Linked DNA regions of Sus scrofa. The protein of the gene in region 3 interacts with the protein of the main gene of each other region in a pairwise test. Links are inferred from orthologs where the notes say so. Each region holds a gene or a part of one and is shown on either strand. Other genes may lie near its edges.

Region 1 (4,343 bases), on a different chromosome or scaffold from region 3:
TTCAGTCTTAAAAAGGAAGGACATCCTGACACCTGAAATGACACGGAGGAACCCTGAGGACATGATGTCAGGTGAAAAAGCCAGCACAAAAGGACAAATACTGTGTGATTCCATGTATATGAGGGCCCTGGAGGAGCTCTAGCCAAAGCGGTAGACTGGATGGCGGGTACCAGGGACTGCGGGAGAGGGACCTAGGGGCCAGTGCTGAGCGGGGACAGAGTTTCAGTTGGAGGGAATGAGAAAGTTCTAGAGACGGGCAGTGGGGATGGCTGCTCAACCACAATGTGAACGTACTTAATGCCACTGAGCTGTACACTTAAGAATGGGTAACAAAGAAACAGTGGGTCCCACTGTGGCACGCGAGGACTGTCTGCTGGCTCTCCAGACCTGCCACCACCGGGGCCTCCCCAACAGGCAGCACCCTCAGCGTTCTCCCCACACCGAGCGCCTCGAACACAATTGTATTTGCCAGGCCATGTGTCCTTTTAAAGCAGGAAGATCAATCCTGCTAGGCGCCTGGGCACTGACCACTGCCCCATCAAGGGACCCTGATTTCTCCAGCCACACCCCCGCCACGACGTCACCGTCACACCTCAGCTCATGACCAACACGCACCCCACTCTCCATCAAGCCGTGGAAGAGCCCAGGCCACCCAGCTCCACGGGAAGAGCCTACCTAAAGCAGGTCCCACCCCTGGCACCCACAGCTGCTCTGCGCACAGCGGCTGCCTCTTCCGTGAAGCTTCCATGGGGACCCAAAGTAAGAAGCAACCACTGGAGCAGGACGTGGTTAGAGCAAGGTGCCAGGGGAGCCCAAACCAGGGCGTGGAGACCCGCAGAAGTGGGGGCCCCGCAGAGCCTCAGCGGAGGGGCTGGTAAAGTCGGATGAGCAGCTGTAACAGGTAACCGAGGAGCAGAGCTGGGGTCTAGCTCGAAAGGACCTTGCTTCCTCCAGCAGGAGAAGGAATCCCTGCCCTTGCAGGGCAGGTGCAGATTAAAGACAAGCAGGTGGGGCTGGCTCCCTAGACCAGTCACAAAGCAGATTTGAGTTTAGTTAATTGAACAGAGTGGAACAGCGCCCGCCGCCCCCAACATTCACATCCATCCAGAACCTCAGAATGTAATCGTATCTGGAAATGATCTTTTTTTTTTTGGCCTTGCCCATGGCATCTGGAAGTTCCTGGGCCAGGGATCAAAGCCACACTACAGCAGTGACCCAAGCTGCTTCAGTGACAACACTGGATCCTTAACCACTAGGCCAGCAGGGAACTCCAGGAAACAGGGTCTTTACAGAATTAACTAGCTAAGATGAGGGCACACTGGATTAAGGGGGGCCTTATATCCAACGACTGGTATCTTAGAAGAGGAGGACACACAAAGACAGACAGACAGGACGGCCATGTGACAACAGAGTCTGAGACCAAAGTGCTACAGCTACAAGCCAAGGACACCAAGGGCCTCCAGCTGCCCCCAGAAGCTGGGAGGGGGCACAGATCAGATCCTCCGGCAGAGCTTCCAAGGGGAGCCAACCCCCAGCACCCTGAGTTCAGACCTTCAACCTTCTGACTCGGGAGAGGATACATGTCTGTCATCTTAAGGCAGCCCTGAAATTCGAGGTGGTTTTTTACAGCAGCCCTAGGAGCTGAGATCAGTCAGCTGATGAGGCATCTGTGCTGGGGGAGGGGCACCCACGTGGGGGTGGGCACTGGCCCAGAGCCATCTCATGGGAAGCAGGGCAAGACCCTCTGTGGACAGGGGCTTCAGCCAGTCAGAGATCCCCACAGCTCCTACCCAGTCCCAGTGTTTCAGGCTGGGGGTCCCAGGGAACTTTCCAATGGCAATGGAAGCCTGAACGGAGCCTCTAAAAGTTGTTCCGTGTTCATTTTGCTTCCCAGATACCCTCTCTTCCATCCCAAAGTCAACACAGCCCAGGCAGACGGCTCGTTCCTTCCCAGGGTCTGCGGGACAAAGTGCCTCTGTGTCCTGCATTGACAATGACGCAGAGGGCGTGTGGAGCCCCAGACCACGCCTTCCCTGATGGCTCTCAGCTAAGGGGCACACTCCTGCAGGGGGGTGGTCCTCACCCCCCCCCAACCCCGGGACACTCTCAACGCCTTGTGTACAGTTACCTGTATGCCCACCCCCACGTACCATGAGAAGGGACTAGATCTGCCCCGCCCCTGCCTGGCACACCAAAGGCCCAGGTATGAATGAGGGAGTGAACCAGGACCGCCTTCCTAAAGGCCTTCACAGCCACAGTGGGAAGCTGGGAGATCAGGCATCTGCCTGGGGGGTGGCTAAAGGGATTTTCCCAGCCTGCCCCGGGGGGATGTTCTAGGCTTTCCCAAGTTCCATCCTCACAGCCACCCAAAGGTGTCTCCCCTGATGCCTCCCAGCCCTTGGGAGCCTAGGACAGAGTAAAGCAGCGTCTGCCAGGACAAGCCCCAAGAGGTCACCTCTTTCCATCACTTGGAGGGAACCGGGTTGCTGTGCCCAGGCTGTTCCTGGGGCTGGACCATGAGCTGGCGGGCCTGCTGCCCAACACTGACAGCCTCCTTACCGTACATCTTGCCCTCATCCGATAGGATGATCTTGCGCCGACCGCAGGGCGGGTAGATGGCCAGGGCCTCCTGGAAGCTCTGCTCGATGTCGGGGCTCCACACGCCCTCTGCGTCATTGTCAATGGGCTTGTCCAAAGCCTGGCTGCCCCCAGAGACGTTGCTCCCCTCGGGGGAGTTGGGAGAGCTCCACTCGTTGGAGGTAATGGTGCCGGCCTTGCCCTCCAAGGCTCCGCTTGGAGGAGCGCCCGTTGGACCTGGGTGGGCAGAAAGCACAGCATTGGTGGATGAACGTGTGGACAAGGGGGTGGGGGAACCCAGGGAGCACCACCCCTGAACCAGGTGCTTCTCCTTTCCTGGTGCTCATGGCCCAGGAGCTCAAGGGGAAAGCCAGGGAATCCCATGGGGCAAAGAGTGAGGTGGGCGGGGCAGGGCGGGGTGGGGAGGGGCTGGTCAAGGGCAGGTCATCTCCCCTCCACAGACCTCAGCTCCCCACCCCATCAAAGGAGCTCAGCAACCAGGCACTGTCTGATTGTGGCTCTAGGAACCCAGATGGGGCTGAGAAGTTAGATGAGGGCCAAGTACCATGGATGTTCTACATTAGACCAAAAAGGGCCAAGAGCATACAAAATACTGTGCTCTGTTGGTGGGAATGTAAAATGGTGTGACCGCTAGGAAAACAGCATGGAGGGCCAACCAAAAAATCAAAGAGAATGACCATAGCACCTAACAATTCCACTTCTGAGTATATACCCAAAAGAACTGGAAGTAGGGTCTCAAAGACACTCATGTTCAAAGCAACATTATTCACCACAGCCAAGGGACAGAAGAACCCAAGTGTCCATGGACAAATGAATGGCTAAATAAAATGTGGTCTCTACGTATAGTGGAGTGTTATTCAGCCTTAAAAATGAAAAAAAAATCTTTTTGTTTGTTTTTTAGGGCCACCCTGCAGCATATGGAAGTTCCCAGGCTAGGGACTGAATCAGAGCTACAGCTGCAGGCCTACACCACAGATACAGCAATGCCAGATCCTAGCCATGTCTGTGACCTATACTGTAGCTTGTGGCAACATCAGATCCTTAACCTGCTGAAAGAAGCCAGGGATCGAACCCACATCCTCATCGACACTAGTTGGACTCTTAACCCACTGAGCCACAACAGGAACTCCATGAATATGCTTTATTTTGTCTTTTGTCTGGCCTCACCCATGGCATATGGAGGTTCCCAGCCTAGGTCAAATCGGAGCTGTTGCTGCCAGCCTACGCCACAGCCACAGCCACGCCGGATCCTTAACCCACTGAGCGAGGCCAGGGATCGAACCTGCAACCTCATGGTTCCTAGTCGGATTCATTTCCACTGTGCCATGACGGGAACTCTGAATATGCTCTTAACATTACTGAACTGCACACTTAAAAATGGTTCGTGGTGCAGTGGTTAACGAATCCGACTAGGAACCATGAGGTTGCGGGTTCGGTCCCTGCCCTTGCTCAGTGGGTTAACGATCTGGCGTTGCTGTGAGCTGTGGTGTAGGTTGCAGACGCAGCTCGGATCCCTCGTTTATGTGGCCCTGGCATAGGCCAGTGGCTACAGCTCTGATTCGACCCCTAGCCTGGGAACCTCCATATGCCGCGAGAGCGGCCCAAAGAAATAGCAAAAAGACAAAAAAAAAAAAAAAAAAAAATGGTTCAAGACGATAAACGTTGTGTGTTTTATGTGTTTAGAAGAAGCATGCAAGGAGTTCCTGTTGTGACGCAGCAGAAACGAATCTGACAAGTAACCATAA
Region 2 (4,116 bases), on a different chromosome or scaffold from region 3:
TGGCCCCATCCCCAAAGTTTCTAAATCAATACGGAAGAGGTGGGATACAGGTTATCTTCAAGAACCTCTGTTTTGCAGGAAAATGAGGAAAAGGCAAGATCCCTCGCCTGAGGTGGTGACAGTTTAGCTGGGGAGACATCATATACATATGTAAACCTGAGCTGGATATCAAAGGCCACATGGACAGTCAGGGCGAACAGCATGACAAGGACAGGACCTGACTGCTGGTGATTAGAAGACCTAGCTCTAAACTCTAAGGGATGAATTAAGTGAAAGACTACAAAGCAAAGGCAATTTTTTTTAAGTTATGGGGACAGAACCCATCTGTCCCAGTTTGCCTGGGATTGTCCCAGTTTACACCTGATGTCCTGCTATAATAAATTATATGGTCACCCTAGTCAGGATCTATCAATGCTTGATTTGCTGGAAACCACTGTTGAGAAACAAATGTTCACTGTCTTGCAGGGAGAGCTAGACAAACAGTGACTAAGAGACCAGCTCAAGCTGCTAGTCCCTAGCAGACTCTCAGCCTAGCACACATGCCTACACATGAAGCCAGAACTAAGACAGACAAATACTAACAAGTGGGGAACTCCCCGCCCCCACCCCCCAGGGCCTCAGTGGAACCTGGGGCTGAGGATCATTAGCAGATAAGGATAATTACCGAAATACAAACCCATCCCATTCTCTCTTAAGTGCTGACATCTGTGCCCCAGGACTCACCACCGAGAGGGCACAAAACTTGTCCGACTCAGCAGAGTCCAGGAAGTCAAGCAGCTCAATCTCAAATAGGACGGTGGTGTTTGGGGGGATCAGGGGAGGACAGCCCAGTGTTCCGTAGGCGTAGGTCGGTTTGAACAGGAACCTTGCCAGCTCTCCTCTCCGCATGCTCAGAAGGCCCAGCTCCATGCCCCAAAGTGTGATGTCTGGAAGAAGGGACCAGAAGCATGGTGGAAGCCGACCCAGTATCTTGTTCCAATGCCAATGACTTTCTTCCCCCTTCCAGGTCCACATCTCTCTGCATGGTATCTCCAGCCTTTCTACACTGTGGTCCCAACACGCTTCTCAGCCTTGTTTCCCTACCACCACCACCTCCGTCCCAGACCTTAACTCCTCTAGGCTCTGCAGCAGCCTTCGTCCATGAAGTTCCTTCTTCCTCCAGTGTTGCCCCCGCCCCCACCCATGCCCAGCTTCTACCTTGGGGGGATTGCTATTCAAACGTTAGGGATCATGTCAAATGCCCCCTCTTCCATGAAGCCTTCCCTGAACCTCCCAGCTGGAATTAACTCTACCTTCAATTGAGCACTGCCACAAAATATGGCTTACACTTCCTAGAAACTCCACCAGTTTAGCTGTCTGGAATATGTTAATCTCCCTCCCCCACACTGGCCCCAGACCTTCTAATCCTCAGTACCTCCTCTCTTTTCCCTGTGCTTTGGAGGTAGCAGGCATTCAATAGGTGTTGACTTAATCAACTAGCAAAGAAAAGTGTAGCACCCAATATTTAAGTCAGGCTGCAAAGATAACTCTGCCAGCAAGGCCATCTCCCAAACACCTATGTCTCAAGGAGGGAAGCATGGAAGACAACAGGGCTGGTTTAGCAAAGCCCAGCCTCAGAAAACCAACTCAAAGAATCAGCGCTCCAGATCATTCTGTGGTCTTAGGGTGTTGCCCTCATTAGGGCAATTCCCCAAATGATCACTTCTTTTCCAGCTCTGTTTCTGAACTTACCCTCCCCAAGTTTCATGAGCCGAGGAGTTTTCCTAAAGCAGTTAGAATCAAAAGGCTTGTCCATGTGCTCCAGATATCCAGAATATTTCACTGGGACAGAAGAAAGAGATAGTGGGAGGTAAACGGACCAAAGACACCCTCACCGCCCTATCAAATTTCCTTAATTGTCCCACAAAAATAATGGAAGTACCAGCTGCCCTTAAACTGCCCCTCACCAGGAGTGATTGGAAAAATCTTCGCTCAACGTTTGGAGGCCTGCCCACAGGCTCTGAGGTTCGAGAGCTGGGCTGGTGGGATCCCTTGTTCTCCGTAGTCCCATTACAAAGGGGTAAGGGGTTCCCTCCTTATCCCTTAAGACGCCAATTATAACAAAACTCATGTTTTAAACGTGGCCTCCAAAATCAAAGTGCAGAGCCAAGCCTGGTGCCCAACACCCGCCAACACTTGGGCACTGCCAGCTTCCCGAGGGTGGACGGCAGGCGGGTCTGCGGTCCGTTACCGAGCACCGAAGCGTCGGGTGTCACCAGCTCTCCAGTCCCCTCTCGGATGACATCCTTCAACACGCCCCGGTCCCCGGAGATGTCCAGCATCCTCTGACTTAACCGCTGGTACAGAGACTGGTGGGGGAATGAAACACAGAGTCTCAGAGCCCGGGGCTGGCGCCCCGACTCCGGCGGCCAAGGCCCCTGCCTCTCCAGCGCCCGGGCCCTCACCTGGCTGGGGGCGACGTCCCTTTGCAAGGCTCCCGGGTTCCGGGCGCTGCCCCCATCTCTGCGCGGCACCCCCCCCCTCCGCGGCGGCTCGGCGCCCCTTTATACCTGACCGTCCGCACCCGACCGCGGTGTTCCTTTCAGGGACCGCGAAGAGCCGCTCATGGCTCCGCTCCAAACGCCGCCAACCGCCCTCAGGGAGCGCGCACGCGCGGGAGAGTGGCAAGGCACGTGACCGGGCACGTGACGGGGCGCACGCAGCTTGAGCGGGCGCAGATTGAGGGCACGTGGAGCCTCATCAGGCGTCTGATGAGGACAAGCAGGGCCTGACGGGGCTCGTGGCAAAGGCGCGAGGAATAAGGACCAGCAATGGGGCAGGGGGTGGCCAAGCTTTGGGCACGGGCCGGGTGAAGCAGGATGGTGAGGACAAGGCCTCAGAAACGGCGGGCTGCTGGAAGCGTCGGGCCTGGCAGCCCTGGGTTATTTCCACCGTCCCTCGTTCTGCTTTGCTGTGGGGGAAACGCACGTGCAGATGAAAGGATGAAAATGCAACCTGACTCTCCCAGAACCCAGGAAGTTAATAAGAAGCTCTAAATGCCCTCGAATTCCAGACCCTGTTCCCTATAGGTAAAAGATCATACTTTTTGCTGTTTTAGGGCTTGCTTTCTGCTCTGTACAAAACTTTGTGGAAGGGGAAAAACAGGCCCCTGAGTATGTGCCTCTATGCTTGAAACTTCTTGAAACTGCTCCTAACTGCTTGTTTGGCTTCTGTAAACCTGCTTGCATAAGATAAAAAGAGGAGAAGTCAATTGCCTAACGGACCCCAGTAAGATCGGGCGTGCCACAAAATGTTGAAAATCCTGATAAATATATCTTGGTGACAATATGTCTCCCCCACCCAGAGACAGGCACAAACATGTAACTCCAGAACAACTTAAAATTAATTGGTCCACAAAGCGCGGGCTCTCGAAGTTTTGAATTGACTGGTTTGCGATATTTTAAAAATGATTAGTTTGTAAAAGCGCGGGCTTTGTTGTGAACCCCATAAAAGCTGTCCCGACTCCACACTCGGGGCCGCAGTCCTCTACCCCTGCGTGGCGTACGACTGTGGGCCCCAGCGCGCTCGGAATAAAAATCCTCTTGCTGTTTGCATCAAGACCGCTTCTCGTGAGTGATTTGGGGTGTCGCCTCTTCCGAGTCAGGACGAGAGGGATTTTAACTCGACTGGCCTTTCAGTTTGGTGCGTTGGCCGGGAAACCCGCGACTACCCCTCACACCCGAGAACCGACTTGGAGGTAAAGGGATCCCCTTTGGAACGTGTGAGTGTGTGTGTCGGCTGGCGTCTCTGTTCTGAGTGTCTGTTTTCGGTGATGCGCGCTTTCGGTTTGCAGCTGTCCTCTCAGACCGTAAGGACTGGGGGACTGTGATCAGCAGACGTGCTAGGAGGATCACAGGCTGCCACCCTGGGGGACGCCCCGGGAGGTGGGGAGAGCCAGGGACGCCTGGTGGTCTCCTTCTGTCGGTCAGAGGACCGAGTTCTGTTGTTGAAGCGAAAGCTTCCCCCTCCGCGGCCGTCCGACTCTTTTGCCTGCTTGTGGAAGACGCGGACGGGTCGCGTGTGTCTGGATCTGTTGGTTTCTGTTTTGTGTGTCTTTGTCTTGTGCGTCCTTGTCTA
Region 3 (3,652 bases):
GCCGGGCCAGGCCGGGCCGGGCCGGGCCGGGGGCGCTGCGGAGGCGGGGCCGGGCCGGGCCGGGCCGGGCCGCTCCGAGTGGGGCGCGCGGGCTGAAGCCAGGCGGCGCGCCTGTGGAGCGCTGGGGGCGGCCCGGGGCTGAGCATGGAGCAGCGCGGCGGAGGTGAGGGGGCGCCGGGGCTGGGAGGCGGCCTGGGGGCGCCCCCAACTTCTCCTCGGCGGAGGTCCCGTGGGGAGGCGGCATTCCACAGCTGCCCCCACTTTATGGAAGCGGCGGGGGATGGTGGGGGGTGGACTCCGGGGGATGGGTGGGGGGGCTCCCGGCTTCCTGTCTCTCGGAATGGGAACTCGTGATCCCAGACTTGATCCCGCTGGATGGTCCTTGGAGTTTGGTGAGGGGGAGACTTTCCCCAACTCTTCTGCCCCCAAAACAGGTCCGTGGGATCTCGGACCTTGGCCAGACCTCCCTCGGGCCCCAGCTGGACCCAGCCCTCAGCCGCCCCCAGCCCACTGAGCGGGGGAGCGTGTGCTGTCCGGGTTTTTCAAGGATGTTGCGGAGAGCGAGGGGTTTTCTTCCCACAGCCACAAACGCATTTCTCAAAATGGAGCCTCCACTTGCCCCTCCTTCTCTCTCGGGCTCCAAGAGCGGGAGCCTGGCTGGCTGGGCCTGGCTTTCCAGACGCCTGGCGCTGGCTCGCTGGGTGTCTGGATCTCAGGGCCCAGACTGATGTCTCTTCTGGTTGAGGGGCCCCTGGCTCACTGGATCCGCCTGACCCTGGGGCCGCTTTCAGTCTTTGTCTCCCGTCTTCGGAGTCTCTGTCTCCTCCCCTCAGTTTCCACTTTTTCTGTGCTCACTGAAAAGTAGGAAAACGCAGAGGTGCCAGTCCCCCTAGCCCCCTAAAAAGCCCCTTCCCCGCTGTTGTCTCCATGCTCTGGAGTGGCCTGGGAGAGCGCAGAGGGCGTGTTCCACCGACTTTGCTCAGGGCTGGCACTTGTGGGGTGGACTCAGCCCCTACCCCTGCTCCCTGGACACCAGTCACCCCGACCCCAGTTCCGCTCCTCCTCAGTCGGGACACCTCCCCAGTTCTCTAGGGCTTTTGACTTTAGTGGGGAGGTTGCGGGGCGGGAGGGGGGGGACCTTAATGGAACACAAGCGGGAATGAAGGAGAGCAGATCAAGCAAAGGATAACGTCTCTCCTCTCCCTACACTCCAGCAAGTGACAAAAACCAGGCTCCCACTCACCCATTTGGCCCTGCATGCCACCCAGGCGTGCGCTCTCTCTCTCTCTCTCTCATGCTCCCATGCACACACATTGCTCTGTATGCACACTCTGTACACACTTGTGCACCCTCAGGTACACATACTCATGTATATATGAATGGACATCTCTCCAAACATCTCTCATAGTCACACTCATGTACCACAAATTCACTTATTATGTATGCATTTGTAACTTTCATGTACTTTCTGAGAGAGATACATTATTTTGCAAACATTCTTTTAAGATCTGCACGTATGAGTGCACATAGATACTCACGTGTGCCTGAACGTACCGTTGCATCTGTCCAAACATATATGTGTACTCACACACACTCACTCATGTTTTCACACACAGTGCTCATTTTCATGCTCTCGTGCACAGTTTCACACGCACAAATAAGTAAATGCACACACTCCTACTCCTACGCAATTCTCTGTCCACATCTTGGCCCCTGCTCTGCATGATGACTTCAGCAGATGCCTGAGTCCTGGTGTTCAGCCTCCGGACTAGGGAGGGAGTTCCGGGCGGAGACTTGCTGTCCTCTTCCAGGAAGGAGCAGGGGCTGGGGAGGTGGAGCCCTCTTCCCTGGGCTCCAGGGAAGTGAGAACTTGGAGCAGCTGCCAGAGGTGATGGTAGGGCTTCTCTCTTATCTCCTCAGGGTTACCCGGGGAATGTCTGAAGCCGGAAGGTTTCATAGAGGTTGGCAATGGGCCTGCGTGGGCTTCTGTAGGCCCCACTGATTGGGTGTGGCAAGGCTGGGAGTTGTCATGGAAACAAGCATGAACCTGCATCCACCTCTGGGAGGCAGGAGACCCCAGAGGGCACCTGTGGGCTCCCTAAGAGCTCTGGGTTCTCGTTTGGCCAGCTCCACCCTTCCCGCCTCTCTGTCTGGGAGAAGCTGAGGCCTAGCTGGGGGAGGCTGGGCACTGCCTGGCCTTGGCTTTTTGTACCCTAATTACCGTCTGAGTTGCTGACTGTACCCCTGAGAGGTTGTCCACCTCTAATGAGGCCACCTGCCCCAAGAGACCAGGGGCCTGTGCTAGGAGCTGGTAGAGAGGGCGCCCTCCCTCACTTGAGTCCTGACCTCTGTGGGGGATGCTGTTTGGGGCTGGGGCCTGGGCCTCTGCTACCAAGGGCCCTGTGTAACCACCAGGCCTCCCATCCCCTCCTCATCCCTGCTCCGTCTATTCAGGCCTCAGCTCTGTTCAGACCAGGGCTGGGCAGTGGTCTGGGGCCCAGGGAGAATTGAGGTTCCATCCCTTGATCAGAGGAGTAGCCCTGGGGGGTTTCAGTGCTTGCTTACCGGTGCCAGCGGGCTGTTTGACCTCCGAAGGACCAGGAGGGACTCGGCCTTATTTAGGGAGGAGCTCAAACTGGAGAGACTCTGATACCACTGCCCTGCTCACAGGTTTCCCTGGAGGCCCTTGGCCAGGCCTGAGCCTCTGCCGCCATGGCCATTGTGCAGACGTTGCCGGTGCCACTGGAGCCCGCTCCTGAGGCCGCCACTGCCCCACAAGCTCCAGCCATGGGCAGCGTGAGCAGCCTCATCTCAGGCCGGCCCTGCCCCGGGGGGCCGGCTCCTCCCCGCCACCATGGTCCCCCTGGACCCACCTTCTTCCGCCAGCAGGATGGGCTGCTGAGGGGTGGCTATGAGGCCCAGGAACCACTGTGCCCAGCTGTGCCCCCCAGGAAGGCTGTCCCTGGCACCAACTTTACCTACATCAATGAGGACTTCCGGACAGAGTCACCCCCCAGCCCAAGCAGTGACATTGAAGATGCCCGAGAGCAGCGGGCACGAAATGCCCATCTCCGTGGCCCCCCACCAAAGCTCATCCCTGTCTCTGGAAAGCTGGAGAAGGTGAGGACCAGCCCGTCCTTTGGGGCCTGGGTGGAATCAGGGGTCTCTTGGAAAAGCTGAGGTTTGGAGGCCTATTTAGAGGAAGGAGCGTGGGCTCCAGATTCACCAGATCTGGGTTCTCGTGTCAGCTCTGCCTCATTTTGGTTGTATGACCTCTGGAAAGTCGCTTAACCTTTCTGACCCCCAGTTTTCACATCTGTAAAATGGAGGTAATAAGTCAACTCATAGGATTGTTGCGAGAATTAAATAACATGTGTAAACTGTTTAGCCTACTGCCTGGCACTTAATATGTACTCAATAGCTGCTCAGAAATACTTTATGACACGACAGCTGTTTGTTTGAGCACTGCCCATAATTCTGCTGAGCCTCCATTTCCTCATCTGTAGTATGGGAAGAGTGATAATATTTTGCTTATATATATGGCTGTTGTAATGACTAGAGAGGAACCTTTTAAATTGTGTGAGATAAAGCCCGACACTCAGGAGGCCCTCAGCCAGTGGTAGCAATTGTTATTATTATGTGGGGATTGGGG
Region 4 (4,450 bases), on a different chromosome or scaffold from region 3:
TGGGGTGGTGGATATTTTGCTCTCACCGTCCAGGAGTTCTGTTTACTCCTCAGGCCCCTAGGAGTCCCAGCCTGTCTCCTTCCCTCTGGCCTGTCACTCACAGTTCTATCTCTCAGGGGCTGGCACCCAGTGACCCACCAGTTGCAGATGCCTTGGAAGGGGGTCATCCAAGGGGATTGGGGCCCCTCTCAGTCTCTCTCAATCCCAGTAGTTGCCCAAGGGATCGGAGGGGGCAAAGAGGTTAGATAAAGAGACCAGAGATTAGAGCCAGAATCCTGCCTGGAGAAGAGCTGGGTGGGCTGAGGGTGGCGTCTCTAGAGGGCGCTTCTTGATTTGGGGTTGGGAGGGGGTGGGCATTGCTACACTTCCAAGAAAAGGCAAAGATATAGGCCCCCAGGCAATACTGGAGTCCTCAGGTCTTCTTTTCCAACCACCTCCCTCTGGGTGCCCCCACCCCACAGGAGAGCCCCAGGCTCCCTCTCTCCTCTAGGGCTTCCTCTCCTCTTCCTGGTCTCTGAGCCTTTGGTCTTGCTCATAGCACCTACCAGGCCAGGTGGGGCAGCCTCTCACATGCTCCCCCAAACAGACAGGGCTCCCCCAAACAGACAGTCCAGGGCCCTCTGGACAACAGCCCTGTGAAGTTTGGATAGCAAAGGGACAGCTACTGACCTGTGTCCAGGGACACGGGATGGGATCTGGGGGCTTCTCCTTCCCCAGCAGGGCAGGGAGTGCAGTGGCGAGCCCAGAGGCAGGAGTCTGACTTGGGGCCGGGTAATCCGGAGCTCAGGTTACTGACTCCGATATATATAGTATCTTATCTGACCTCACGGAGATGGCTAGCTCCACTCACTGGCATTCCAAGCCTGGGCAGAATTAAAGGGGCAGTGGCAGGCCCTCCCTTGAGGTGGGCCCGTGCCAGGCAAGATCCTACAAGACTGTTTGAAGGGAGGGATTTTGAAATGGGACAGAAGGGGGATTCAAGGGGAAATAGAACTGGAAAGATGGTAGAGGGATGGGGGTGGAATGGAGGCAAAAATATGGAGAAGGAGGTGCCAGTCACAAAACTGGAGGAGAGGAAGAAGCCTCAGTGCTTGTCTGCCTGCTTTACTCTTGAGATGGAAGAGCCCTAGAGGCAGACAGCAGCGTGCTCAAGGGCACACGGATACAAAGGCAGGTGAGACCTCCTCAGGTTCCCAGGCCATTCTCATTTATAATGGACTTCTAAGCCTGGGCTTGTATTCTTTCTTTCCCTTTTATTGGCTCTAAGTCGGTGGGCAAGTCCCTTAAGCCCTCTGAACCTTATTTAGTCTGTAAAATGGGAATAATAATAATAATAATGTTATACCTCACAGGTGTGAGGATTAAATAATATTTGTAAATTTCCTGGCACCTAGTAAGAGCTCAATAAATGGTAATTATTACTATATTGAATACTTCCACTTATAATTAGAGGTAGTTTTTGTAGTAGCACCCTCGGGGGAACCTGGCTAGGGAGAAAAGGGCCTCCAGGCTACCCCGCGGGAGTGCTGTTCTAATGCCATGGTTTTCTGAGCAGGTCTGTGTCCCATAAGTGGCAAGGCAAACGAGGCTTGCCCCATTCCCAGATGTCCAGTCCACCCACCGGCAAAAGGCCGGGCCCTCTTGGGCTCCTTCCTCCTTTGCCTAGAAAAATACAGCAAGTGCAGCTTCCCCGGGGCTCCCGGGAGCAAGCCCAGCTGCTCTGGGGCAGTTCCACTCTACCTGTAGGAGTGCTCAGGATCCCGGAGCCCAAGGAGTGGGGCTGGCTGGGCAGGGTCACAGGAGGAAGGAGCAGGATTCTTAACCTCTCGGCTCTTGGTGCTCTGGTCTGCTCCCAGTCTGTCTGGCCTGTTTCTCGATGGCTCTCCCTGAGGACTGGGAGTACCCAAGATGGGGCCTCCACCCTGTCTCAGCAGAGGCTACTGACTCAGCTCCGGTCCTGATGATGCACTTCAGAGGACGCCCTTGTCCCCGGCCCTCATTCCAGTCCTCATTCCGACCCCGGCTTGACATTATCTACAGCATCAGAGAAGGGGTGGCTGATCCAACCCCAGCTCAACCAGCTCTCCTTTTCCTTGGGTTCTCATTGGGGGACCTTCTCATGCCTGTGCCTGGGGAGGCGAGCAGCAGCAGGATCTCCAACTCGGCCCCATTCGAAGAGCAGCCAGGTCAGGAGGTAGATGCTCACTCCTTAGAGGACAACTAGAATGGATTGGCCAGGGCTCCCTTTGGCTGTTAAATATAAGTTACTAGCCTTAGAGCACCGCGTGCCTGCTTCTGGTTTGGGATTGGTGAAGATTTCAAAGATGCCTCTTTCTGGTTTGGGATTGGTGGAAAATCTCCCCTTCCACTTAAATGCTACCCTCCCCCCACCCCACCCCCTTTGGCAAACCGACCAGAGACAGCCCCCAGGAGCTTTGACAGAGGGAGTAAATGAGCTGCTCGCACACGTGGGGAAAGGATTGTCAGTGTCCAGGCGTCACTCTCAGCCACATCCCACCCAGGGCTCAGAGACCTGGACCTGCCCAAGCAGCGTTTCCGTAGAACACACTGATTAGCGCACAGATGGCTCTTCCTGGCACCCTGGGCTGTCAGCTGGTGCCCCCCCTCCCCCCTACAACTGGTACCCACAGCTGGAGATCTTCAGCGCAGCTGGAACTCGCCCTACATTTCTAGTGCCCATTCTGCCCAGCCTGTCGTTGGCACCTCACTTTCTGAGCCTCAAACAACACTGCCCTCCGCATCACCCCTCCCCAGTATCCGACAGGTGGCAGGTACCTGCCTCTTCTCCGAGGATGGACGAGTCGAGCCGGGCACAAGCATGGAGCTGCGGGTGAGTCCTGACTGGTACTGGAGCGGCGCAGTGAGCAGCAGCTGACGCAGAGGGCTCCCTGGTCTCCGCTCCAGCCCGCCTCTCCCCCACCTCCGCCGGGGGCCCAGAGAGGACCTCCCCGGGAAATCGGCGCCACCCAGCGGGCAGCTGCCTCATTGCGCCGGGGCCGTCAAAGTCACACCCCGCGTTTCGCGTCACTGAGACGCATCACGGCTATTGGCTTTTTGCTATTGTGGCGTCATTAGACTCCGCCCGGCCAGGGTCTCCCAGGCGACCGATATATACAGAGAGCCACGTGAAGGAAAGGTGAGTTTGGAGGCGGGGTGGAGCACAACGAGAAGGGTCCCAATGCGGCAAGAATGTGGCACGACGGGAGAGGTGTAAGGTACTGGGAAAGAGGAAGCGTCTTGGGGGGAAGGGTCAGAAGTTGAGTCCCAGGGCATATATAGCAGCTTTTAGTATTTAGGGAAGGCTAAATGTTCCTCTCCTTCCCACCCGACCAGGAGCGGACCTGTTTTTTTGCCTCTTCTCTTTTTTCTCTACTCTTTAAGACTCTCCACTCAGTAACAGGAGACCAGTGATTAGTGATGACCCCTTGACTGGGTGAACGGAGGCACTGAGTCAATGGAAGGATTCTCTTTTGTCTTTTCAGAAAAAGCCGAAAGGAAATTTGAATTTTTGCCGCTCCTTTTCTTTGTGTATAACCTTTCTCTACTTACACTGCGGTGGTGAAGAAAACCGCATAGCCATGTAGATTGGTGCCGGGGCAAGTCCAGGTTTTCAATTTCACCTGGACCATCAATCCTTTCGTGCCCTTAGCTGCTTCTCTTGTTCTTATGCAAGGCTGGTATTTCTGCCCATCATCACTCTGAAGTCCCTTCTTGTCTTCTCTTTCCCAGAGAAACTAGAAGCAATCAGGAGGAAAACACTTAAAGTTCTTCCTACAAATATATCCAAATCCAGTGTTCCCTCTGCTCCAAGAGCAGTGAAAGAAGTGTCCCGCTTCTTGTCCAGGACAAATCCCTTCTGGATTTCAACTCTTTAATTGTTCCTTAGTGTTACCTGAAAACTGGGTTCACCTCTTGGTGGGCTTCAAGCCAAAAGACACAACCAAGCCAAAGATTGGAAGAAGGTAAAATTTATTACTTGTAGCAAGTAAGAAGAACACCGGGGCAGGGTGTGTGTGTGTGTGTGTGTGTGTGCGCGCGCGCGCGTGTGCACGGCGGTGTCTTTCCCCAAGCAGTGTATCCTGGAACAGCAAAATTGGGGAAGTTTAAAGCTAAGGGTGCATGCATATTCATGAAGGGCCTTGAGCCAAAGAGAATTCACAATAGAATTGAGGCAAAGGTTGCCAGAATCCAAGCTTTAGTTGACTGAAGTCAATGAGGGTCAGCAAAGGTCAACATCATTCCTTAGTTTCAGACCAGGGTCTCAGCTGGTAGTTACATAGTTACCATCCTCCATGGGGGGGGGGCTTAGTTCTAGCAGAACTTAAAAAGATTTACATCAGATTGTTATGTATATCCCTTGAGGAGGAGCTAAGACTTCTATTGAACTGAAGTGTCTACAAAGACAAAAAAAGAAAAAAAAACAAAACAA
Region 5 (4,422 bases), on a different chromosome or scaffold from region 3:
CAGAGCTGGGTGGCCATCTGTTGGGGCGGGGGTGGGGGGGAGCTGCCTGGCACCCAGCACGCGCATGCACTGGCTGAGCCAGGCCCCCTGAGTTCTAGAGTCCAGGGTATGCAGACACATGGGACTGACCACAGCTCATGAAAACCTGAACCCTAGAGAGAGGGGTGCTTCATCACTCAGCTGTCTTTTTGTTCTAAAAACCAAAGGAAAAAGTGACAAGCTGTTCAAAGGAATCTGGAGATAACGCGAGTGCCTGCTTTGTCTTAGGTTACTTCCTAGCATTCTGCTCAGTTTCTGGGCATTTCCTTCTTCTTTTCTTTTTTTTTCAGCCACGCCTGCGGCATGCAGAAGGTCCCAAGCCAGGAACTGAAAAGGGACTGAAGACATGCCACAGCAGTGACCGGAGCCACTGTAGTGACAATGCAAATCCTTTACCTGCTAGGCCACCAGGGAATTCCCTGAGTATTTCGTTCTTTACTAGAATCCTGAGAATAGATTTTTTTAAAAAACAGTAAGAATATAAGTCAACAATGTTCAGCATCTCCAAAAGCAGGTACTTCAGTGAATGAGAGGCTGAAATTGGAAAAAATAAATAAAATTATGTCAGGGCACTCAAAGTATTTACCTATTCATGCTTCTTTCTTTCTTTCTTTCTTTTTTTTTTTTCCTCGTCTTTTTAGGGCTGAACCTGTGGCATATGGAGGTTCCCAGGCTAGGGGTCGAATCAGAGCTACAGCTGCCAATCACAGCCACAGCCACAGCCACTCAGGATCCAAGCCATATCTGTGACCCACACCACATCTCATGGCAATGCCAGATCTTTAAACCACTGAGCAAGGCCAGGGATTGAACCCATGTCCTCATGGATGCTAGTTGGGTTCATTAACAACTGAGCCACGACGAGAACTCCTGCCTGCCTTTCCTTATAGTTAATGAAGAGTTATAAACACTGGACAACAATATTCTTCTCAAGTGACATGATCATCAAGAAAAAAAAAAAAGGATAAAAAAGATAAAAGGGTGTCAGATTTGTGAAAAATAATCAGCTTACTCATGAAAAACAGAATTTCTCCATCAGGCAGAACCTACAGTAGTCAGTGTGAATCACACACAGGACTATGTCTCATTTCTCCCTTCAAATTGTGGAAATAACCTAACATGTAACATAGAATTACTACCCAATGGATAAAGGCTCTAAATGGTTTCGATGAGAGCAGTGGATGCGTTCAGATTGCAGAAAAATGAAAGGTGGGTAGGTTGCAAGTCTTGTCACATGCAGAGTTTAACATTTTCTTTCTGGTTTTCCTACCTGTTCCCCTCCCGCAAATGAAACAAATTCTGTTAGAAATGAAAAGGTACTCTATCTAGTCACTTGTGATGGAGCATGACGGAGGATAATGTGAGAAAAAGAACATATATATGTATGTGTGACTGGGTCACTTTGCTGTACAGCAGAAAATTGACAGAACACTGTAAATCAGCTATAATGGAAAAAATAAAAATCATTAAAAAAAAAAAACATTATGAGACTACTGCCAAGTAGTCAAGAATAAAGTATCAACTTAAGTCATTTTGTCCCAGTGAACTTAATTGTGATGGACTTCTCCATCTGCCATAGCAAGAACTGCTTTCTTATTATTTAATACTCAATTTATTCAGCCTAAAGACTGGTTAGACATAATTTCTTATTATCAACTTAGATGCAATAACTAATTATTTATTCAATTATTTTTTTTTTAATTAAGGCACCTCTGTTATACCAACAACTGTGCCAAGATTGAGGACATGGCCATTAATAAAAATTAGGGGAAATCACACCAAAAAAACCAAAGAAATGAAAAGGAAAACCTCAAGGAAATGTCACGTGGGTGATAACACTCATGTTTTCAACCTCAAACTCTTCTGTGATAAGCAGTGGTCTCAGGTGGCAGGGCCCACGCTCTCACCCACACTCTGCAGCAGTAACTACTGTGCAGAAGTCTGATACCCACACTGAAGCAATACTGGACACCATCAATATCAGGGGATGCAGGTGGCCTTTCCCACGGCTGGATACCAGGGAGGGGAAACAGGATCGCAGGAAGAAAGCCGGGCAGATAGAGAGCCCCCACGAGTCACCCTGGTCAGCTGGCATCACACCGCCACTCCTGTCCCCACTTAGCTGGCACTGCCCAGGGCTGCAGTGTGAAATGCCACCAATTTAAAAGAGGGGAAAAGTTCACCTGGTTCAAAGCGCTTTTCGCTGTCTGCTTCTCTATGCACAAAAGCCACAGGTGCAGGATTCTGTGAGATGGAAAAGCTCTGGTGGAATGACACAGGTGGAGCTGTGGACATCCCTAGGGGATGGCAATTCCATCCCGGGACCCTCCAGAAAGTGGATGCCAGGAGACAGAAATGAGCAGGGGCCCCGGACACAGAAGGGTCCGCTCACATGGAACTCCAGATTCTAGAATCTCCAAGAAACGACACAGTGGATTTCTCCGCTGGATCTCTCCCCATTTCCAGAATTTCAGAAAAAGACACGAAGAAAGATGTTAATACTTAAAACATCCTTTTTTTTTTTTTTTCCTCTCCTACACCAACTAAAACGATGACCCCTCCTCCCTGCATCCCGAGAAAGGACACTCACCCAGTGTGTCCTTGAGGTTCCTCACGAGGGAGCCCTTCTTGAGGCTGTTCTTCCGCTCCACGTAGTTGGAAGGCACATAGCCCGTCCTGTTGGCCGCGTTCCGCACCCGCCACCATGTCTTGGAGTCGTCCAGCAGCCACAGGCGCTCGTTCTTCTTGATGTCCAGCTCCTGGTCCTGCTGGGCCGTGTAGTCCCACTTGGCTATCACGATGACTTCTTCTGTCATCTTTCATGGAGTCCTTCTGTCAGCAAAACAGGCGAGAGGCTCATTAGAGACCAAGCCAAAAGCTTCATCCTTTGTCCCCACTTGGAAGATGATGCCCTGACAGCTTTTAGTAAAAACTTGGCCACTGAATGTTGCCTGGGTCTCCAAATAACCTTCAGCGACCTTCCTTCAACACATGGGAATACTTGGTTTAGAAACGGCAGCCTCGTGAAACAAATCTTAAGTTTGCACACTAGGAATTCTGCATGCTCTGACAAAAACAAGCGGCAACCAAAAAAAACCTTCCAAGAGTTCTAGACAACCATACGAAAAGGAAACCTGCTTACAGGATGAAGGAACACCAGATCCTTCTGGCTGATCTCTTGATGCCTACTATCTAAGGATATGCTTAATTTTATGGACATATTTAATGGACATGACACACCCAAACTACAATGTGGTATCTTGGATTGCATCCTGAAATATAAACACTGGTAAAATCCAGATAAGTCTAGCCAACAGTGCCACTGACTAATTTTACCCCTGACTGTTTTGACGAAGGTCCCTAAACACCTAAGATGTTAGCACTAAGGAAAACTGAGTCCGGGATACCTGGGAAGGCTATCTTTGTACCTTCTTCCTTAAGTAAAAAAGCATTCCTGGAACCTGAAACACAGACGTTTATTGTAGCTTCACTCGCAATTGCCAAAATTTGGAAGCCATCAAGATGTCCTTTGGTAGATGAATGGAGAAACAAACTGTGGTACATCCAGAAAATGGACTATTATTCAGTGATTGAAAAGAAATGAGCTGTCAAGCCACAAAAAGACATGGAAAAACTTCCAGTGCTTATGGTCAAGTGAGAGAAGCCAATCTGAAAAGGCACAGACTGTATGACTGGCACAAAGACTCTGCTATTAGATCAAATGGTAGTCAGGCTCTTCTGATTTCTCTTCCCAAACGAGTTCGGTACTTGAGTCTGTCTTTGCAGTGCCCACTTTTAGCAAGAATCCTGCTAAGCTAGTTCAGCCAGGTGCCTCCACCCTTGCCCAAGTGGTGTCTGATCATCCCGGGCTGCTTTCAGGAGGGATCCTGTGAGGTCCATGTAGCCAGAACCCCCCTTAGCTCTGCTGGTTCCTCGTAGTGGTTGTGCATGCACCTGCTGCCCAACCTGCTGCCCAGCTATAAAGTCTCACTTCCCCTCCTGTATGTGGAATGGAGCCCAAACTCTCCCCCCCCCAACTGAGAAAACCCCTTATTGTACTCCCCCTAGTAAAGTCTGCTGGACTGGTCTTTAATGAGTGTCATTTTTTCTTTAATAATTCCAATGATGTGACATTCTGGAAATGGCAAAACTACGGAGATGTTACAAAGACCAGTGGTGGCCGGGAAAGGGGAGAAAGCAATGATGAGATGGAGTGCAGGCATTTTTAGAGCAGTGAAACGAAACAACTCCAAAGGATACTATAAGAGTGAGTATGTGTCACGACACACTTGTCAAGACCCATAAAACGTGGAATACTGGGAATAAAAGTATTGTAAAATCATGCCAAAATTCAATTATCTTTAAAACAAAAAACAGAGTATA
Region 6 (4,313 bases), on a different chromosome or scaffold from region 3:
TCCCTGCCACCGCCCGTGTATCCCAAGCTGAGAAATGTGTAACTCGGGGTTGGGCTGCTGATCTATAGCCTAATCCTTCCTGGTCCCTTTTGAGGACAGTGGGGATGGGGTTGGCACGGCCTTGACCTTGGGGTCCCAGTCCCTTTCCAGGCTCCCAACCCCCCCTTAGGAGAAGCTTAAAGCCTGGGCTGGAGGTAGGCACCCCAAGGGGCAGGTTGGGGGGCTGGAGATCCCGGGACAGTGAGAGCAGGTGAGCGGTGGATGTACGGTGGTTAGAGTCTTGGAAGTGGGCATCACAGGTCTCACAGTACTGGGGGGAGAGGGATCGGGGCCTGCAAAGAAAAAAGAATGGTTAAGGGCAACACAAGGATTGAGGCCTCAGGAGGGTGGCAGGGTTAGGTCCTTCCTGTATTTCTGCTGAGGAACAAATTGCCTTCCTCCCCACTTCATGATAAGAGACCCAAAAGGGAATAGTTGAGCCAACAGATGTTAAAAAGGCTTCACAAAGTTCTTGGGTGATGAAAAATAACAATAGTGACCATAGCTAGTGTTGGTATAGTGCTTAGTATGGGACAGGTGCTTTTCTAGCACTTTACATATATTAACCTATTTGACCCTAACAACCCTAAGAGAAAGGTGCTTTTATTGCTCCATTTCTTAGATGAGGAAACTGAGGCACATGGGTTAGGTTGCTTGCCCACGTAAGTACAGTCAGGATTTAAACCCAAGGAGCCCATGCAATGTGGGAATATAGCAAATATACGTGAACTATACTTCAATTAAAAAACTTAAAATTTTTTTTGTCTTTTTTAGGGCCACACCTGCGGCATGTGGAAGTCCCCAGACTAGGGGCCAAATCAGAGCTGTAGCTGCTGGCCTATGCTACAACCACAGCCATGTGAGATCCGAGCCTCATGTGAGATCTACACCACACGACAATGCCAAGATCTTAACCCACTGAGGTCAGGGACTGAACCCTCGTCCTCATGGATACTAGTTGGGTTTGTTACCACTGAGCCGCAATGGGAACTACCCCAATTTTTTTTTTAATGAAAAAAATGTTTTATATAAAAAATAATCCAAGGGAGTATCCTGTTCATAATCACACTGCCCGATCAGCCTACATTAGGGAACAGGAAAGTAAACCCTTTGGCTCTATTCTGTGGCCTCCTGTGTGAAGTGTGAGGAAGGGCAGAACACAATGAAAGATAAGGCTTCCCCTTACCGGTTCTCTGGACTCCTTGTCTCTCCGGGGCTCTCTCTGACCATGCGGGCCACTTCAGGGAAGCCTGCTTCTTCCGCCAGCTGAGCAGCATCCCTGCCACCCAGCTCGCAGACCCCCACCCAGGCCGCCCCACGGCCCAGGAGATAGCGCACAGCTGCCCCCTGGCCTGCTCGGGCAGCACACATCAGTGGGGTCCACCAGAAAGCATCTCGAGCGTTGATATTCCCTCCAGCTCCCCCTGCCTCATGGGGATCCAACAGCTTTTTCAGTTTTGCCAGGTCCCCCTCCTGGGCTGCCCTCAGTATCTGCTGGGTCATCTTGTCCTCTGCCTCAAGGGATCTCCTTTGTCCATCTTCTCCTGATGCTCCTGCTGTAGTCTCCCTCATCGTTCGTCTTTTCTTCCTCTTTCTAGCAGGCTCAGGCTGAGATCTCTGGGGCTCAGGGGTGCTGTCCTCGTCCCCAATCAAAGCTTCATAGAAAGCCCGGGCTGCAGCCCCATCCAGGGTGGGCTCCAGCTCTTCAGGGTGTGACTGCAGTTGCCCATCTTTCCAGAGATCACTGGGGTCAGTGGCTGGGGTAAAGTTAATGAGGGAGGACCCGGACATGGCTTTGGGGAGAGTTGGGAAAATGAGATTAGGCAGGGGGAAGCCAAGTCCCAGATGGTCCTGCAATGACCAGAATCACCTACAGACACCTGCTGGGATAAAAACAAGTATCCTTAGAATCAAAAATCCCCTCCCGGGAGTTCCCTTCGTGGCTCAGTGGTTAACAAACCTGATTAGATTCGATCCCTGGCCTCAGATCAGTGGGTTAAGGATCCGGCGTTGCTGTGAGCTGTGGTGTAGGTTGCAGACACGGCTGGATCCTGCGTTGCTGTGGCTGTGGTGTAGGCCAGCAGCTGTAGCTCCAATTCCATTTCTAGCCTGGGAGCCTCCATATGCCACCGGTGCAGCCCTAAAGACAAAAACAAACAAAAACCCTCCTACGCGGAAAGTGAACCCCGAGGACCACGGATTGTGTAAAAATAGGAAACCCTATGGTAACAGACCATGCCCCTTAGTAAAGGTTAACAAAGTAGACTCTGTAAGACAGTTGCCCAGAAGTCCTGTGCTCTGCCCCCACTCCATCCTCACCATCAATAATAACAGCCTTTCTCTGAAACTACTTTACAACTGCGCGGGACATACCATTAAGGAAAACAATCAGCCTGGCTCTTTAAATCTTCCTGGATCCTATTTCGGGGTATTCTTAAACAAAAACAGACTTGACATTTGTCCGGAAGCAGGAAGCCGATTCGCGGGGAGGTTCCACTCGTTGCTTTGCAGCTTCCGTACTGCAAAATGGCGCTACTCTAAGCAAAGGCGTCCACAGTCAAAGCCGCATGCGCAGCTGAATGGGGAGCGGGCGGGGGACAAACAAAAACAATACTGGAGCACGCAGGCGCGCTGCTCCGGGCTATTTCCCGCCCTGGAATCTTTCCAATAACACAAGCGCAAAACGCCACGTGCCCTGGTAGCGCGAGGATCGAGAAATATCTGTCGGTTGGGGTCCTGCTTTTACCTAACGCCCCCACAATGCTCTTCGCCTCCCTCAACGTGGCCCCCGCTCCAAGCTCATTTTCTGGACCTGGGAAACCACCCTCTGGGTTAAGAAAGGCCCTGAGGCGGAGAATGCCCAGAAGCCGTGAAATGAAATAGTCACGCAGCCCCTCACCATTAATCTGACCAGGGTTGGAAGGTCGCACTTAGCACCCGCAGCAGAAGGCCCTGTTCAAGCCTTAAAAGGAAATGGAGAAGTGCAAGGGGACGAGCAACAGAATGGCTGGCGCCACCTCAGGTTAGCGCACGGGACCTTCCCGATTCTCACACCTCTCAGCTCAGCCAGCACACCCTACCCAGGTCCCTCAGCGCGGAACCCGGCCTCACCTCCCACCTCAGGAGATCAAACCCTTGAGTGAAATATGGGCCCCGTTGAGGGTCTCCTTGGCAGGCTGACTCGGACAGGGGGGCTCCACAAGCGATAAGGGCCAGGCAGCTGGTCGGTGATGAGGTCAATGGTCTGGGTAGCAGGGCCGCACGCCTGAGGCTCGTTGTGTGAGAGGGAGCGGCAGTAAATGATCCAGCCTGTCTTGTTCCTTTCCCCGCCCCCTCTCAGCCCCACGGTGATAAGATCACTCGACTATATTTCCCAGGCTCCCTGGCCCAGAACACGGTACTGCGTTTCCGCTTCCGGTGGCGGCTCCCTACGCCCCGCCCCGGAGCGTTTCCCTCAGGGGCCTCGCGACACCAGGGTCGTGGGCGGGTCGTCCTGGGATTCGTAGTTCGCCCTTTCTCAGTTGCGCCAGTTTCTAGCTTCCGAGGACTCCATCTCCCGGCGTTCACCGCGGCGCACGATTTTAAGCGCTTGCGCGTTGCCCTCTTCCCCACCCTCCCCAGTTTCCACTCCCCCCGCCCCACTTCGCCTGCCGCGGTTGGATCCGCGGCCTGCGTTGTAGCCGTCGCCGCGGTTCCTTGGAAGCAGAAACTCCCCTCCCCTCCCCGCCCCCCCGGTCCCAGTCCCCGTCCAGCCGGTGAGTCTGAGGTCGTTGCCGCGCCGCGTCCCCTGTTCCTGGGCGCGGCACAAGGGGTCTCCGTGCCTTGATGTGGGGGTGGGGAAGGAAGTGACCAGGTCCGGGACCGAAGGAAGGAGGGGGTGGTCTGAAGGATGGAGGCGGGATAAGGAGACTCCCGTGAAAGGGACCTAACTGCCATCCCCAGACTTTGAGAAAAAGAGGAGCTTAGCTCTTGCCTGGAAAGAAACTTCGGAAACCTTGGGAATGGGGCCGGGGACAAACGGAGACTTGCGGGGGTAGGGAATCTGAGCCGCAGGCCCTGCTGGAGTTGACATAGAGGAGAGAGGGGCCTGGCCTTGGGGAGCGTTAGGGATGTGGATAGGACTAATGGGTCAAGACCTGCCGGTTACACACAAGTGTTGGGACCCCAGAGAATTTCCTGTCTCTGAAAAAAGGGGTTGAGGTGTGAATAGGAGGAGCTGGAGAGAACTGCTCCAGTCTAGGATCCTTTAAGAAAGGGTGGCCCTAAATTCTTCT
Region 7 (4,106 bases), about 61 Mb from region 3:
TCTATGCACACCACCCTGTCCCTCAGAGAATGTTGTAGAACAAGGAGCTGCTTGGGGAGGGGTTGCCAAGAACTGGGCTCTGCTCTCCACAGCCAAGAGCTTGGCCTCCAGGGTCTGAGCCCTCCAGGCTACAGCCAGTCTGGGGGGAAGCAGACCTCAGGGGAGGGAGGGGGCCCCACCCCCAGCAGAGGCAGAGAACAGGGCTTCTTTCTAGAATCCACTTTTTTTTTTTTTTAAGGGACATACTGTGTCAAATGGAAGTTCCCAGGGATTGGAGCTGTAGCTGGGGCCTATGCCATAGCCATGGCACCACTAGATCCGAGCTGCATCTGCTATCTTCAGTGCAGCTTGTGGCAACACTGGATCCTTAACCCACTGAGTAAGACCAGGAATCAAACCCACATCCTCACAGATATTAGTCACGTTCTTAACCTACTGAGGCACAATGGGAACTCCTAGAAACCGCTTTATTATGGCATCTGGCAGGTCAGACACAGCTCAAGTCAGGTCCCTCTCTAGGCAGATCCTGAAGGAGGAAGAGGCAGGAACCCTGATGGGCAGCTCCTCACTCAGGCCATGCTGCTGCTTAGCTGCATGGCAAAGTCGTGCACATGCTCCTTCAGAGTCTGGCGGGCATCTGCCTGTGCCCGCTTCTCCCGTGCCCGCTCCTGCTGCAGCTTGGTCAGCCGTAGCCTCAGCCGTTGCTCCCGCCGCTTGCAGGCCTGCAGTTGGCGCTGGGCCTTGTCCAGGGCATCAAGGGCAGCCTCAGCCCGCCGCTTCCAGAGCAGGGCACTGCCCACCTGGTAGCTGTGCTCATTCTGGATGTAGGCTCCAGCAGGAGGAGGGAGGCGCAACATGTAGGCTGAGGGTGACACAGGCCGAGGCTCCAGAGGGGACGGCTGCCGCTCGGGCTCCCGCTCGGGGGAGGGCTGGGTGCTGCAGCCTGCTTCATCAGCCTGGGCACCCAGGGGCCCCAGGAGGTCTGAGAACGGGCTGCTGAGGCCAGGCTCCAGCCTCCCAGTAGGGGAAGCAGACAGAGCAGCAGGTGCGGAGGCCTCTTCCACAGGAAAGCAGGTGACATCAGCAGGTGGAGGTGGAGAAAACGGAGTCGTGGGCCCTCGGCCCTCAGAGCAGCTACAGGGAGACAGAGCAAGGGACAGGCCAGGCTCAGGGCTCAGTGACCTCATTTCACCAGCCCACCTAACCCCCATCCCTGAACCATAGGCTCAGAGCCCTGTCCAGCAAGGCTCCATCCGAAAGCCCAGTCCCTCAGACGTGAAGTGGGACATCCCCCAGCGCAGCGCTTACCGCTTCCTGCATCGCCGAAGCCGGCTGACATCAGGGGGGCCGGGTGGGTAACTGTGCCCCTTGGTCTTGGCTGTTCGGCGCAACTTGGAGAAAGACTCAAATATTGTGGGGACTGCTCCCTCCTTCAGCCTGTGGTACCCACTGTAGGGGAAAGCAGTCTGAAGTAGAGAAGAGGGCCTGCACCCCAGGCTGACCTGCAGGGTGCGGAGCCTGCAGCCCCCCAGCCCCTGAACAGGATCCTGGGCTAGCACTGGGGCAGGTGGGAGGCACACTGCAAACAGCTAGTTTGGGGGATGCCAAGTTAAGAGGTACCCCATCTCCTCCATGAGAGCCTCCTGAGAATTAAGGTGACTGGAAAGGCCCCACCAGAACTGGGCTGACCCCCTGAAAGGAGCGGCTATGTTTGTGCCTTTGCTGGCGTGCCTGGGCTCCAGGAGCACCCTCTGGCACAGTGATACCCGGGGTGTGTGTGTCTCTAACTGCTTCCGTCCGGAGAGGAAATTGAGATTCTGAGCTGGGAAGAACCAGGGCGGCCTGCCCTGGTGTCAGCAGGAGGCTCACCTGATTCCCACCAGTTCAAAGCAGTTCTCCTCGAAGTGTTTGGAGCAGAAGTAGATGTACTCGGATGCTGGGTCCCACAAGCCCTGGCCGCTGGGGTCCAGCCGCTGGCAGTTGGCCAGCCACAAGCCTCGCCTCGGGTTGTCCTTCTTGGGAAGCCTGTAGGGCAACAAGCCTGTCAGAGCTGGGCCGCCGGCGACACACCGGATGGGAAGGGCCGGCCTGACTCATGCTGCCCCCGGACCCTGTGGGCACACAGACTAGGAAGCTGAGGCCTCAAAACGTAAAGCGACTGGCTCTGCACCAGGGTGCCTCTGACAGCAGCTAGTTCCCTCTCCACCGCAGCTCCGCCCACCATCAGCCTCTAACTCAAGCCTCGCCGGACCCGCCGAAGCGCGTGCGCAGTGAAGGCTCCTCAGGTGGGCAGGACAGACTAATGAACACGTGACCCTTTCGGCGCCAGCGCGCACGCGCGCTGACCTGTGGAAGGAGATGCCGCGGTTGCGCGTCTCTCGCGTGTCCCGCGTGCAGCAGCCGGCGGCGGAGCAGTGACGCGGCATCTGGAGAAGAGGCAGGAACTCGGTTGCGGGCTGCTATCTGGGCCCGGACAAGCCTCGCGCCCCTAGCCGCCACCCTGCTCCAGGCGGCCCCGTCCTGGCGCGTCCACACCGGCCCGATCTCGTCAGAGGCCCTTCCCAACCCACTCTCCCGTCTCCCGTCAGCGGCACTTACGGTCTCGCCATTGCTGCGCCGCCGAAGTCTCGCGAGATGTGGCTCGCGGCGGAAGTCGGTACCATAGAGACCCGGAAGCGCGCGGCGCTCGCTGAGGGGCGGAGCGGGCCCCGGAAGTGGTCGGCCTGCGGGGCGCCGCGCGCAGGACCGAAACGACTCTGACAAGAACGGGCTGGTCGTGCGATGCGGAGCCCTGGCTGGGCGGGCACGCATGCCTCTGATGAGAGGTGCCCCTTGTGGACGGGAGGGAGGCTCTGGGGCAGCTCCTCCAGAGGACGGGGCGAGGAGGGTGAACGCTGTGGTCCCGCGACTGTGACCCGGACCGCTTCCGGTCCCGGAGGAAGGGCGCGAAGGATCCGGAGTGTTTAAACTTAAAACATTTTCCCCGATTTCCCCACTGGCCTTATACTCTTATTCTGGAAGTAATACAGCAACTGAGGTGCCTCATTTTTTCTCTTTGGGAGGAAACATGATTTTTCCCTAGGAATTCGCTCGGAAAAGGCAAGTATCTGGTCGGGGAACTTGGCCGAAGAGCAACACAGGAGCAGACGACACTCAATACAGAAACTTTAATAGGTAAACACATCTGGAACGTTACAGAGCAGGGTGAAGGGGGGCCGCCTCGCCCTCCCGCTCAGTACTCCTCCCCCTCCTCGGCCTCCGCTTCCACCGAGTCCACGCCCACCTCTTCGTAATCTTTCTCCAGAGCCGCCAGGTCCTCCCGGGCCTCCGAGAACTCGCCCTCCTCCATGCCTTCCCCCACGTACCAGTGCACGAAGGCACGCTTGGCGTACATGAGGTCGAACTTGTGGTCCAGGCGGGCCCAGGCCTCGGCGATGGCCGTGGTGTTGCTCAGCATGCACACGGCCCGCTGCACCTTGGCCAGGTCTCCCCCTGGGACCACCGTGGGGGGCTGGTAGTTGATGCCCACCTGCCAGAGAAGGGGAACAGATGGAGACGTTTATACTGTGGCGTGAAAAATGGTACCTTGTTTTTTAAAACAAGGCCCCATGGGAATTGGTACTTTCTTTTTTGGCAGTATCTGACAACATTTAATATTCTTTGACCCAATACTGTCACGTTTTGGATTTACCCACATAAGAGCAAAAGCTACATGTATAGAGATTTTTATGTATTTAGTTTAGGGTACTGTTTGAAATGGCAAAACTGGAAACATGTCCTTCCTGGGGAACAAGTTATCACACATCTCTACAGTAAAACACGGTACCATGATGAAAAGGAATGAAGAACCTGCCCTGGCCTGTAAATATGTCCAAGGTGTATTGTATACTTGGTAGAAAGCAGAGCAAGTTGAATTCTACCTGAGTGTTTATACTTCAAAATACTTACAGAGTAACAACCAAAGCTGGGAGATACCATGCTGGAGGACAAACAACTGGTAGAGTGCGGACAGATGGCTGGCCCTGACCTAAGGAGCAGCTGGCAGCCAGCACCAGCTTGACGCAGCTCTTCTCCAGAGGAACTGGGAGCAGGGGGCATGTACAGGG

What was found.
Region 1: the proteins of LZTS2 (region 3) and TEAD4 interact in binary tests that used the Homo sapiens proteins (3 or more experiments, as listed by UniProt). The two-hybrid records come from large-scale screens. The link is inferred for Sus scrofa from reciprocal best matches to the Homo sapiens genes LZTS2 and TEAD4.
Region 2: the proteins of LZTS2 (region 3) and FKBP6 interact in binary tests that used the Homo sapiens proteins (3 or more experiments, as listed by UniProt). The two-hybrid records come from large-scale screens. The link is inferred for Sus scrofa from reciprocal best matches to the Homo sapiens genes LZTS2 and FKBP6.
Region 4: the proteins of LZTS2 (region 3) and USP2 interact in binary tests that used the Homo sapiens proteins (3 or more experiments, as listed by UniProt). The two-hybrid records come from large-scale screens. The link is inferred for Sus scrofa from reciprocal best matches to the Homo sapiens genes LZTS2 and USP2.
Region 5: the proteins of LZTS2 (region 3) and NCK2 interact in binary tests that used the Homo sapiens proteins (3 or more experiments, as listed by UniProt). The two-hybrid records come from large-scale screens. The link is inferred for Sus scrofa from reciprocal best matches to the Homo sapiens genes LZTS2 and NCK2.
Region 6: the proteins of LZTS2 (region 3) and GPANK1 interact in binary tests that used the Homo sapiens proteins (3 or more experiments, as listed by UniProt). The two-hybrid records come from large-scale screens. The link is inferred for Sus scrofa from reciprocal best matches to the Homo sapiens genes LZTS2 and GPANK1.
Region 7: the proteins of LZTS2 (region 3) and THAP7 interact in binary tests that used the Homo sapiens proteins (3 or more experiments, as listed by UniProt). The two-hybrid records come from large-scale screens. The link is inferred for Sus scrofa from reciprocal best matches to the Homo sapiens genes LZTS2 and THAP7.

What each region holds. Positions count from the first base shown.
Region 1 is NC_010447.5:67,164,770-67,169,112, forward strand, and holds the start of TEAD4 (transcriptional enhancer factor TEF-3), read right to left. Parts: upstream 2,811-4,343; 5' UTR 2,786-2,810; coding exon 2,560-2,785; intron 1-2,559. UniProt on the Homo sapiens protein: Transcription factor which plays a key role in the Hippo signaling pathway, a pathway involved in organ size control and tumor suppression by restricting proliferation and promoting apoptosis.
Region 2 is NC_010445.4:10,668,392-10,672,507, reverse strand, and holds the start of FKBP6 (inactive peptidyl-prolyl cis-trans isomerase FKBP6), read right to left. Parts: upstream 2,934-4,116; 5' UTR 2,607-2,933; coding exon 2,550-2,606; intron 2,349-2,549; coding exon 2,231-2,348; intron 1,822-2,230; coding exon 1,732-1,821; intron 927-1,731; coding exon 724-926; intron 1-723. UniProt on the Homo sapiens protein: Has an essential role in spermatogenesis. It is required to repress transposable elements and prevent their mobilization, which is essential for the germline integrity.
Region 3 is NC_010456.5:112,081,196-112,084,847, forward strand, and holds part of LZTS2 (leucine zipper putative tumor suppressor 2), read left to right. Parts: intron 1-23; exon of another isoform or gene 24-163; intron 164-311; exon of another isoform or gene 312-1,894; intron 1,895-2,670; 5' UTR 2,671-2,712; coding exon 2,713-3,120; intron 3,121-3,652. UniProt on the Homo sapiens protein: Negative regulator of katanin-mediated microtubule severing and release from the centrosome. Required for central spindle formation and the completion of cytokinesis.
Region 4 is NC_010451.4:46,587,425-46,591,874, forward strand, and holds the start of USP2 (ubiquitin carboxyl-terminal hydrolase 2), read right to left. Parts: upstream 2,931-4,450; 5' UTR 2,801-2,930; exon of another isoform or gene 2,797-2,800; intron 790-2,796; exon of another isoform or gene 670-789; intron 1-669. UniProt on the Homo sapiens protein: Hydrolase that deubiquitinates polyubiquitinated target proteins such as MDM2, MDM4 and CCND1. Isoform 1 and isoform 4 possess both ubiquitin-specific peptidase and isopeptidase activities.
Region 5 is NC_010445.4:49,106,326-49,110,747, forward strand, and holds the start of NCK2 (cytoplasmic protein NCK2), read right to left. Parts: upstream 2,856-4,422; coding exon 2,630-2,855; intron 1-2,629. UniProt on the Homo sapiens protein: Adapter protein which associates with tyrosine-phosphorylated growth factor receptors or their cellular substrates. Maintains low levels of EIF2S1 phosphorylation by promoting its dephosphorylation by PP1.
Region 6 is NC_010449.5:23,777,409-23,781,721, forward strand, and holds the start of GPANK1 (G patch domain and ankyrin repeat-containing protein 1), read right to left. Parts: upstream 2,939-4,313; 5' UTR 2,413-2,938; exon of another isoform or gene 2,000-2,412; intron 1,923-1,999; exon of another isoform or gene 1,920-1,922; 5' UTR 1,831-1,919; coding exon 1,226-1,830; intron 333-1,225; coding exon 1-332.
Region 7 is NC_010456.5:50,590,963-50,595,068, forward strand, and holds THAP7 (THAP domain-containing protein 7), read right to left. Parts: upstream 2,817-4,106; 5' UTR 2,812-2,816; coding exon 2,599-2,811; intron 2,427-2,598; coding exon 2,347-2,426; intron 2,026-2,346; coding exon 1,870-2,025; intron 1,450-1,869; coding exon 1,309-1,449; intron 1,135-1,308; coding exon 570-1,134; 3' UTR 450-569; downstream 1-449. Other genes in the region: tubulin alpha-3 chain, read right to left, coding at 3,233-3,529. UniProt on the Homo sapiens protein: Chromatin-associated, histone tail-binding protein that represses transcription via recruitment of HDAC3 and nuclear hormone receptor corepressors.